3 linked regions of the Pelodiscus sinensis genome follow. The protein of the gene in region 1 purifies or fractionates together with the protein of each later gene. This does not show direct contact. Links are inferred from orthologs where the notes say so. Each region holds a gene or a part of one and is shown in the gene's direction. Other genes may lie near its edges.

The links.
Region 2: the proteins of FKBP5 (region 1) and USP49 purify together in Homo sapiens (affinity purification with western blotting; 4 studies listed by BioGRID and IntAct, with this or other methods). This does not show direct contact. The link is inferred for Pelodiscus sinensis from reciprocal best matches to the Homo sapiens genes FKBP5 and USP49.
Region 3: the proteins of FKBP5 (region 1) and MCMBP purify together in Homo sapiens (affinity purification with mass spectrometry; 3 studies listed by BioGRID and IntAct, with this or other methods). This does not show direct contact. The link is inferred for Pelodiscus sinensis from reciprocal best matches to the Homo sapiens genes FKBP5 and MCMBP.

What each region holds. Positions count from the first base shown.
Region 1 is NC_134737.1:12,704,700-12,708,445, reverse strand, and holds the start of FKBP5 (peptidyl-prolyl cis-trans isomerase FKBP5), read left to right. Parts: upstream 1-1,253; 5' UTR 1,254-1,382; intron 1,383-3,746. UniProt on the Homo sapiens protein: Immunophilin protein with PPIase and co-chaperone activities. Component of unligated steroid receptors heterocomplexes through interaction with heat-shock protein 90 (HSP90).
Region 2 is NC_134737.1:9,534,935-9,538,680, forward strand, and holds the start of USP49 (ubiquitin carboxyl-terminal hydrolase 49), read left to right. Parts: upstream 1-1,004; 5' UTR 1,005-1,394; intron 1,395-1,499; exon of another isoform or gene 1,500-1,586; intron 1,587-3,746. UniProt on the Homo sapiens protein: Deubiquitinase that plays a role in several cellular processes including transcriptional regulation, cell cycle progression or innate immunity.
Region 3 is NC_134718.1:58,399,779-58,403,524, forward strand, and holds the start of MCMBP (mini-chromosome maintenance complex-binding protein), read left to right. Parts: upstream 1-1,043; 5' UTR 1,044-1,196; coding exon 1,197-1,254; intron 1,255-3,275; coding exon 3,276-3,373; intron 3,374-3,746. Other genes in the region: SEC23IP (SEC23-interacting protein), read right to left, coding at 738-888. UniProt on the Homo sapiens protein: Associated component of the MCM complex that acts as a regulator of DNA replication.

The sequences.
Region 1 (3,746 bases):
CACTTGTACTGATGGTGGGGGGGTACACCTGGAGGTGAAGGGGTGCCCTGAGGGCTTGAGGGTTCCATTGACAGTTTGGGAGCCCTGGACAGGAGCTGAGGAGTTGCACTGACCGTTTGCGGGTGGTGCACGGGGGCTGGGTTGCACTGAGGATTTGGAGGTTGCACTGATGGTTTGGGGGCGTTGCAGGGGGGCTGGGTTGCACTGAGGATTTGGGGAGTTGCAATGACCGTTAGGGGGCGTTACATTGGGGTCGAGGCGTTGCACTGACGGTTTGGGATCGTTGCCCTGGGGCTGAGCTGTGGCACTGAGATGTGAGGGGGTTGCACTGACGGGGCATTGCACCGGGTCTGAGGCGTTGCACTGAGGTTTTGGGGGGGTTGCACTGACAGGGGGCATTGCACCGGGTCTGAGGCGTTGCACTGAGGTTTTGGGGGGGTTGCAGTGACGGTTTGGGGTCGTTGCCCTGGGGCTGAGCTGTGGCACTGAGATTTGGGGGGGGGGTTGCACTGACAGGGGGCATTGCACCGGGCCTGAGGCGTTGCACTGAGGTTTTGGGGGGGGTTGCACTGACAGGGGGCATTGCACCGGGTCTGAGGTGTTGCACTGAGGTTTTGGGGGGGGGGTTGCACTGACAGGGGGCATTGCACCGGGCCTGAGGCGTTGCACTGAGGTTTTGGGGGGGTTGCACTGACAGGGCATTGCACCGGGTCTGAGGCGTTGCACTGAGGTTTTGGGGGGGTTGCCCTGGGGCTGAGCTGTGGCACTGAGATTTTTGGGGGGGGTTGCACTGACAGGGGGCATTGCACCGGGTCTGAGGCGTTGCACTGAGGTTTTGGGGGGGTTGCACTGACAGGGGGCATTGCACCGGGTCTGAGGCGTTGCACTGAGGTTTTGGGGGGGTTGCACTGAGGTTTTGGGGGGGTTGCACTGGGGCTGAGCTGTGGCACTGAGATGGGGGGGGGTTGCACTGACAGGGGGCATTGCACCGGGCCTGAGGCGTTGCACTGAGGTTTTGGAGGGGTTGCACGGACGGCGTGGGGGCGTTGCACAGGGGCCGCGGCGCTGCATGGAGGATTTGAGGGGCTGCACTGACTTTCTCCGGCGCTCCCCCCCCCGCGCTCTTCGCAAAAAGCTTGAGGCTGGGCTCTGCTCCCGGCAGGGGGCGGGCAGAAGCGGCCTCATTTACATGCAGGGCGGAGAAGTAGCCAATGAAGCCGCGGCTCGAGCGCCCTTGACGTAGACGGGAAGGCGCGGCGCCCAATGGGCGCTCGGGAAGGCGGGGCCTCGCTGGAAGGCGGGGGACTCGGGCCGGCTCCGGCCGGCCGCCCGGTGTCAGTTCTAGCCGGGCAGCGCGGCGGCGGGAGCCAGCGGAGCGGCAGGTAGGCGCCCCCGGGGGGTGGCGGGGCCGTGGCTCAGAGGCTGGTGAGCCCCCCCCCGAGGCTCCAGCCCCCTTTATAGTCAGGGGCTGCCCCCCCCCGGGCCGGGCCACCCATGAGCAGCCCCCCCCATTGAGAGGCAGACCCCCCCCCTCCAGGGTAACTTGGGGTCCCTGTCCCCCTATTGCCCCCTGCCTCCTCCTTCCCCCTCCCCTAAACCCCCCTTCCTCTGAACCCCCGCACTCCCACACCGCCCCCCTCTGAATCACTAATGCCTGGATGGATGTGAGGGGGCTCCAAAAGGAACATTTGGGGAGTGTGGGTGGGGTTTTTTTTGGGGGGGGGGAGAAGAATGACCCACCCCCCAATAGGGAAAGTTTTAAAAATGGGATGGTGACATTTTAATTCTGCTGAGAGGGGAGGAATATAATTCTTCCCCTCCTCCCCCCAATAACCAGAAATATAGAAGAAACAAAATGCAGGGCTATGTAGCACTTTAAAGACTAACAAGATGGTTTATTAGGCGATGAGCTTTCGTGGGGCCAGACCCACTTCCTCAGATCAAATAGTGGAAGAAAATAGTCACAACCATATATACCAAAGGATACAATTAAAAAAAGTGAACACATATGAAAAGGACAAATCACATTTCAGAACAGAAGGGGAATGCGGGGGGGGGAAGGAAGGTGAATGTCTGTGAGCTAATGATATTAGAGGTGGGGAAAGGTAAATGTCTTACCAGCAATATAGAGACCCTGGTTTAGGAGGTGATGAAGAGCAGTGGAAGGAAATGCTGCAAATATTGCATTGTGTATGTGTATCGCAAATGCTATGTAAGAGCCAGGTGGTAACCCTATCATGGGAGGAAAGGAATTAAGGAGGCATGGAGGAAAGGGGGCGAAGGAACTTGGTGGGATGTGGCGTCAGGAAGAACCTGGAGAACAGGTGGGCTGTTTGTGCTGTGGCTAAGGAACCTCTATTAAGTACTACAGGAGCCTCCTATGTATGGAAGGTGTGTGAGATTGGAGTGTATGTGGATTTGGTCCTTACCTTTGGCCTTATGGTTCTGAAATATTGCTTCTAGCCAAGGATTTTGAATTGTTTTATAAAACACTGTTATCTTTATAAATGCAATTTTGCAAGGATAGGAAGAACAGTGTCCGTTGGTTGTGTTAGGCTTTTTTGCTTTAGGATCTGGGTTACTTTTTTCCCTTGGGAGGAATGGTATGTAAAAAAAAAAAAGTTTAATGTCTTGTAATATGCCCCTTGTACTGTGGGAGACTAGATGGAGTCTGCTGGTGTTGTTGACTTCAGAAAGAGCCAAGTGTAAGGACCTGATGAAATTAATCTTTAAGTTAAACAGATAATTGACAAAAGGAAATTGTTTCAATTCTCACAATATATTGAATCTACCTGGTGTTTGAAAGCCACTGAGGAACCTTCAGCACAAAAAAATCTCTCAAAAACAGCTTACAAAAAATCTTTGCACAAAAAAGTGAGTTTAGAGTCTTTGCTTTAAATCTTCTAACTTTTGTCTGTGATACAATTATGATATTAAATATTAATATATTTTTTAATCTGGAAATTTTAAGTTAAATTGACTTTGCATCCACCCAATCATTTAAAAGAGTTATATTTGTATTAATCTTCTTTGCCCCGTATCTGAGATTTCACTTGTTTTCTGACAGAAATGTCAAACATTTCTAGATTTTCTGATTGAAAAGTGGCCTACTTTCACTATAGGCAGCCCTGTATCCTTTGCTGAAATACTGTTTTGCAGCTTCCTACAGCAGTGCTTTTCAGTGAATCCAAACATGGTCTGCAGCCATGGTAATAGAACCCTAGAGGAGGATATTTTTTTCCTCCAGGTGTAAAAGTATAGTATCATCACAAAATGAGGTTCCTGTATAATGACACCTACCGAAAAAATGTCCCATGGATTGTAAAAGTAAATACTGAGAACATGACTCTGCACAGTTTTCATATATAACACAAAATAAACATGATTGGAGACGCTCACTTTTTCTCACATTCGATTGCACAAATAGCTCTTGTGAAGTTTCTACTTTCCTGCTGCAAAGTGCATTTCAGACATGCATATTAGTGCCTCAAAGGAATATTATTTACCTGGTGAGCTATAAGAGCTTTTGAAGGATAAATTCAAAAATAATGTGTAATGTTTCCATTTGGTTAATTCCAGTTCATATTTCCAGGGCTATATTCAAGGTGCACCATTTAATTGATCCTGCCTGTGAATGAAATTGACTCTGCCTGTGAATGAAATTGACTATCTCAAACAGCTTTGCTACTTTCAGTTCTACAGTGTACTGTAGACAGTGTCTTTAAGGTGCTAGTTTGAGGAGTCTC
Region 2 (3,746 bases), about 3.2 Mb from region 1:
GACGTGACCCTGTGGCAGTGCCCCCATGCAATGGCAGTGCCAGACGTGGCCCCGTGGCAGCTCCCCCGGGCAATGGCGCTGCTGGACGTGACCACGTGCTGGACGTGACCCCCATGCAATGGTGGTGCCAGACATGGCCCCGTGCCAGTGCCCCCGGGCAATGGCAGCACCCCCAAGCAATGGTGGTGCCAGATGTGGCCCCATGGCAGCGCCCCCGTGCAATGGCGGTGCCAGACGTGGCCCCATGGCAGTGCCCCCATGCAGTGGCGGTGCCAGACGTGGCTCCATGGCAGCACCCTGTGCAATGGCAGTGCCGGACGTGGCCCCGTGGCAGTGCCTCTGTGCAATGGCAGTGCTGGACGTGGCCCCGTGGCAGCGCCCCCGTGCAATGGCGGTGCTGGACGTGGCCCCATGGCAGTGCCCCCGTGCAATGGCGGTGCTGGACGTGGCCCTGTGGCAGTGCCCCCGTGCAATGGCAGTGCTGGACGTGGCCCCGTGGCAGTGCCCCCGTGCAATGGCAGTGCTGGACGTGGCCCCGTGGCAGCGCCCCCGTGCAATAGCAGTGCCGGACGTGGACCTGTGGCAGCGCCCCCGTGCAATGGCAGTGCTGGACGTGGCCCCGTGGCAGCGCCCCTGTGCAATGGCGGTGCCAGTCGTGGCCCCGTGGCAGCGCCCCCGTGCAATGGCGGTGCCGGACGTGGCCCCGTGGCAGTGCCCCTGTGCAATGGCAGTGCCAGACATGGCCCCGTGGCAGCGCCCCCCGTGGAATGGCAGTGCCAGACATGGCCCCGTGGCAGCGCCCCCCGTGGAATGGCGGTGCTGGACGTGGCCCCGTGGCAGCGCCCCTTGTGGTGTCCCTGGCCCAGGGGGCTAGCTGGAGCCCTGTGCTGCTCCCTCTCCGCCCCAGCCTGCTGCTGCTCTGCCCAGGCGCAGCGCGTGGCCTGTAGCACACGACGCCCCTGCCCCTTTAAGAGTCTCTTTGTCTCTGAAACATCCTTATTTACCCTCGTGTGACTCAACCAAACTTCAGCCTGCGATTCACAAAGCCCAGCTACGTCACTGGTCCGGGGTGGGGCCATCGAGTCCCCGCCCCTCCGCCCTTCTCCCCCTCCCACTCCGCAGCGCAACTGCCGTAAGCCACTGAAGTGCCTCCCAGCCGGCTACGCAAGCGACGCACACTAGTCCCGCGTTCGAAATCTCCCGCTACGCAAGCGGCGTAGGGCCGCGGAGAATGGAGCGGCAAGCCCACGCAATTCACGTACTCTAGTAAAGAGTTCGCGGTCTGTGCCGCGCAAGTGGCCTAACACGCGGGAAAGCTTCCGCGGCGCTCGCTCGCGGGCGTACCGCGCCGAAGAAACCCGCCACGCCGCTCACGGGAGCGTTGCGAAGATGGCGTAAGTGGTGTCGGGGAATGGGGCGTACAGCGCTAGAGGAGGGCGGAGAAGGTTGAGTGTGTGGCGTGCGCTCCGACCAATGGCGTCGGGGGGCGGGGCGAGGCTGGCGGCCAATGGGCGGGGAGGGGGCGGGGCCGGCCCCGGTTGGGGTGTCTCGCGCTCGGTGACAGCTCGCGCGTGCTGATGATGGCGGTAAATAAAGGGGTTGGGGGGGAGGGGGCATCTGACCCCCCCCGGGGGGAGGGGGGTTCACCCCCCGAGGCGGGCTGGAGGAAGGGGTTCAAGCCCCACACTGGGGCTGTGAGGGGGGGGGTCTGCACCCTTATTAGGACGGGTCTGGGGGCTTCACGCCCCCCCAGGGGCTGGGTACGGGGGCGCCTGACCCCCAGGGTGGGCGACTTCACCCCGAGGGGGGGCTGGGGGGTCAGGAGGGGTTTAACCCCAGTTTGGGGGTGAAGTATGAGGGAGCTTCACCCCTTATGGGAAAGCTGGGGGGGGGGGCTCTAACCCTCCCCTGGAGGCTGAGGGGATTGACCCCCAGTTCAGGGGGGAGGGATGTGAGGGGGCTTCCCCCCCGTGGAGGTTTTGGGGTACAGAGCAGGGCTGAGGGGTTGAACCCCCAATTTAAGGGGTGAAGTGGGAAGGGGCTTTACCCCCCCCCGTGGGGAGCGTGGGGTGGTCTAACTCCATGAGGAGCTGGTTTCACCCCAGTTTTGGGGGGGGGTGAAGTGCTTCATTTCTCAATGGGGAAATGTGGATTTACTCCCCACGCCGGGGGGAGCGGAATGGCTTTATCCCCATGAGGGGAGGGGGCCGTTGGCGTTCACGCACAGGTGGGGGCTCCGGGGCTTTCATGCCCACAGTAGCAACTTGAGACAAGGAGAATGAGGAGGTCACCCACCACAGTGTGAGGTTGAGAAGAAGCTGATAATGGAGGCCAAGGGAGAGTTTATGGCCCTTTGGAGGCTAGGGCGAGGTTCAGCCTGAGAGTGATAAATGTGATGGGATGCGAGGCTTAGGGAGCACTCAGGGGAACGGACAGGTATGGTTAAAAGAGCTGAAATGGGCTGGATGATTGAAAATTAGTGGGTGTAGGTGCTGGAGGTGATGGGGACTTGGGCTCATATGTTACAAGGAAGTTTGGGGGCAAGTGTTGAAGAGAAAAGGTAGGTCAGGGAACAAGGCTGGATCAAGGGAGAGGTTGGGTTGGTGGTTAAGCAGTGATTGGGGCACTCTGTGATTGAAACAGTCAAAGAACAGGCGCTAACTATGAAGAGCCCAGTGCTGAGACTATGGCTAGAGAGAGAGAGATACCGTTGTTCCATTATGTGAACTGTGGGCACTGATGGGTTATGGTGGGGAGCAGTTGGAGGTCTTGGAGTGGTGACTGACAACAGGGTGGTAAGTAGCATGGTACAGAGGTGCAAATCCCTCTGTCTGCGGGAGGTAAGATCCCAAGCTACTTTTTTCCTTACTGTCAGTGTGATGTTAGCAACTTTCTTTTTGTTATACTGTTTTAAGAGCATAGTGCTGTAGGTTGACCTGTTGTTCTTCCTTAATCCCATTGCATTTTCCTCTTTCTGTAGCAATGCACTTGGGGTAGAGGGAAACAGTAAGGAAGAGAGAGAGGGGACTCATACTAAAAGAATGATTGAAATGGTTTTATCATTTTTTTTCTTTTATTGTGTTCTAAATGTCCCCAGAAAGGTCTGGGGGAAGTTATGAAGATGGAACCATAAAAATCAAGATATTGAATGCCCTCAGGTCCCTTGTAGAATTGAGCTCTAATTGTGTAACAACTTTTCCTTAAATCCTTCTGGTTTATGGTAAACAGGATTTAAATTGTTGTGCTAATGCTGCTGTTTGAATACAGTAATTGTGAGGGTGAACATAGTAAAATGAGGGTGATGCTTTGTAAATAACAAATTCATATAATTTCATAACAACATTTAAAGTTCATTTGAATGGCCCACAAGATCCCCCTTTCTCTAAACAGAGCAATGGCAGAGTGTGTGTTGCGTGGTTTATAAATAAAATGATTAATTGAAATTTTATCCCAAACCCCAGTATATGCATACTAAGAGAAATAATTCTGTATTGTAGGGGGGAATAGACTAGATCCTCCTACTAGAGATCTGCAGTTCTAGCTCCAAACAGTAGTCCTTACTCACGTGTCCCATTGAAGTATCTGTGCTTGAGTAAATGTTGCAGGATAGAACACACAGTCTCTTTTTCTAACTACCATGATTTTATTCTCTATCTTCTAGAGGAGAGGGAACAAAAAATCTCTTTTGTTCACTTTGTTTGAAGTTTCCATCTGTTTTGTTTTATTTGGGAGGAGCGAGCATTAGG
Region 3 (3,746 bases), on another chromosome or scaffold:
GAGGTTTTATTCATGGCACAGAAGTCACACCTGTGTGTCAGCACAGAATGCTGCAGATCATAACTGTTGAAACGGGGAAAGGCAACTGTACAAACACGCCACCAGGCAACAAATAAAGGGAGCTGAACGGTCACCTCCCCACTCTGAGTCTATCAAGCCCCATGCAACATTCCACCCCCCCCATACCATTTCTCCCACGAGGCCCCATTTTATAGACCCTTCCTTCCCACTACCCCAACACTGAGTCCCCTTCATCAGGGCCCCTCGTCTCTTCTCTGCTTCTTCTAGCACTGTGTCCCCCCCTACCAGGACTCCCATCTCATCCCCCTCCCCTATTAATCCCCGACACCGTTCCCTCACCACCCCAACGTGCACCAATGCCTCCCCCATCTCCTCCTTCTCCCCCCACCGCCTCAACACCATTTCTCCTACAAAGGCCCCATCTCATCCCTCTGCCCCTCAGACACACCCTACCCCATGTCCCCCACACCACGGCCTTTATCTCATGTCTCCCCCCCCCCAAGACACCCACGACACCATGCCCCCCATCACATCCCTCCCCCCCCCCCGACACCTCCCCAACACCGTGTCCCCCGCCCCAGGACCCTCATGCTCCCACCACCCCAGCTACCCCCTCAGCTCTTCCCCAACAATCCCTCATCACTCCCCTCCCCCCAATTCGCGCCCCCCCCCCAGTATCCCCGGCCAGCCGCCCCCAGGAGCTCAGCCCCGCATACCTGTGCCGAGGAGAGCGGGCCCCGGGGGCGCGGCGGGCGCCTGGCTGACCGGGATGAAGGGCACAGTGAAGTTGAACTCGGTAGCGGAGGAGGAGAAGAGCAGGTTGGTGCCGCCGACGGAACCGGCCCCGGGCCCTTTCGTGGCGGCCATAGCTGTGGCTCTTCCACGTCTCCTCCCCAGCCCTGAGGAGCAGCCAGCCCGGCCCCTTCCGCCCTCAGCGCTGCCCGGCTCCAAGATGGCGGCGGCGCAGCCCACCCGCCCCTTCACGCCGCAGCGTCAGGGTGAGAGGGGAGGGGCCGCGCCGGCCGCCGCGGGAGGGAGGCCGCCTCAGCCGGAAGTTCGGGACCCAGCTCGGGGAGCTCGCGGGAGGGCGGGCGCGTGGCGACGGTGGGGCGCAGGGCCCGATCTGCGGGAGCGGCAGGCTCGGCCAGTCCCGGCTCCCGCCCAACGCCCGCAAGATGCCGTGTGTGGCCGACTGGCTGAACAGCCCCCTCAGCATCGTGCAGGGCATCTTCGGTGAGCGCGGGGCTGTGGCTGGCGGGGAGCAGCCCTGTGGGAAGGCGGCGCGGGGCCGGGAGCTGGATAATGGGGCGCCCGGGGCGGGGAGGGGAGTCAGCGGGCGGGCGAGCGCCGGGCCCTGCGGGTGCCCATGGCCACGCTCGGGAGCGCGGCGGTGGGTGGCTGGGAGCCGGGGCTGAGGCAGAAGTGGCCGCGGTGGGGCGGTTGTGGCGGCTTGGCGGGGCTCGGTTGGCGCGTGGAAGGAGTCGAGTAACAGCCCGCGCAGGGCGGGGGGCCAAGCCCGCTGCTGCGTCGGGTGCTCCTGGGGCAGGACCGGAGCCTGGAAGCGATCCTTACCCCGCGGTGCGGAGCGCCGTGCTGGGGGCTGATTTGTGCCTTGAAATAGCCAGAAACAGAAGTTGGGGGGGCTACAAGTGCTGGACATGTGGGGGCGGGAGTTGCTGCCTGTAGCTAACCGGGCTGTCAGGCAGCCGAGACATAAATTTCTAAAAAGTCTCGAAACACCGCAAAATTATTCTCTCTCAAAATCTCTTAAATAATACTTTAGTGAAGACGTCTCCTTCCTGATGAGAGACCTGACAGGGCAAGACATGCACATTCGCTGGTGCCCAGGGTGTGAATACACAGTTACTTACAATAGTCTATTCCTTTTGCATTAGTAATTCCACTTTGCAACAATATCTCCTCTTTCCAAAAGTGTCAATTTTTCCCCTGAAAAATATGCGTTCAGAATGCAGTTTCTTCCTGTTTACAAGTCTTGAAAGATTATAGTGTTGGGGAAAGAAAGCATTGCAAGAGTAAGACAAGTCGTTCATGGGTGATGTTAAAAAGTGATGACTAAAGTTCCTGAATTTGAATCTGTTGAATCACTCTGCAAACTCTCCCATGAGCTCAAATAGAAAGAAGGTTGAAAGACTCCTTCACCATACAGAAAAATAGGACTCACTATGCAAAAAAACTTTGCTGAGGAAGCAACTCAGGAAGTCATTGAACACTAGCTTCAGGAGGTAGCCGAGTTAGTCTGTTAGAGAAAAAAACAACAAATGGTCTGGTAGCACTTTATAGACTAACAAAACATGTAGATGGTATCATGAGCTTTCGTGGGCACAACCCACTTCTTCAGATGACCACTAGGAGATTTTTAAAGTGTGTACCAAGATGAGGAGTGAAGGCAGCTAGATTCCCCTGTATCTGCAGCTAAAAAAAATAGAGGCAGCTGAGATGGATTAGAAAGGATGTAATTTCAAGGACTTCCTATTGAAACACAGGTACATCATGTATAATTTGGGCTCCTGTCTACATTGGACTGAAACTTAAGAAGCTATACTTTTAATTCTGTCCTTGCTAAGGAGGTATATGTAACAGTTTGGTGAGCTAGTATGGACAGAACCATAGCATGTTAGATGTTTCTAAAACATGTTTTTGTCTAGATTTATAAACATTGTAATGAATTCTAATACCAGCCCATTAGTATTTGAAACTGCTTTTAAAAAAAAAATTCAGCTCTGTTTGATGCCCAGCACTCTAATGACCTTAAACTTAAGTTATATCTCCCTTGTAGTGATGGGTATATTGTTCTCAACTACCAATAATACTATTGAAGAACATGCCAAAAAAAGTTCTTAATTTTAACCAAAACATAATGCATAGTTTCTTAATTACTGGAATAGGAGCTTGTGCAGAAATAACACTTACAAAAGGTTACATAATTCACGTGATAAAGAAAAGTAACACATAATCAGTCCCCGATATTCCTTGCAGTCTTCAGTGTTTTTTAAATCTCTGGCGTCTGAGCTTTCCCTCCCCCCCCCCCCCCCACCTATGCAGTGGATATATTTGCCTTTTATCTCTGTTAAGGTTCTTACAGAAAGATAAGAAAATACAAATGGTATCAAGGCTGTTATAATATGCATGTTGTGTAGGAGTAAAGTCCTCTTAAAATTCAGTTCACATCAGCAGATTGCCTATCAGGCTGAATAAAAGTTGAATGTACTGTACTATTGCCATTCTTAATGCAGTTTGTTTTCTAGCTCAAAATGGTCCAAGTCCTGACTGGGAGAAGAAAGTGACCGAATACTTTAGAGAGAAGCTAAAAGAAAATAATGCAGCTAACTGGGTAAAATTGGTTAAATTGTTTGGAGTTTTTTCCATTCTTCCAACTCCTGCCTTCTTGCTTCTCTGTTATAGCGGCAAGTTTCTTCTAAAGAAATCTGTGTGTGGAACTTGCTCGTACTTATCTGAAAGGGACACTGTTGAGATTCTAAGCCCAAAATTTGGTTTATCTTACAGATATTTAAATGTGAAAACCTAACTAAAGTAAAACATATAAGGGTCTGATCCAAAGTGTATTGAAATTAATGAAAGTGACTTCAGTGCACTTTGAATCAGTACCTAAACTGCTGAATGCCAACTAAATGTGCTCCATTAGATGGCAGTAGCTGACAAATATTATTCTCTATTGCGTTTGTATAGGCATAAAAACCTGCTCT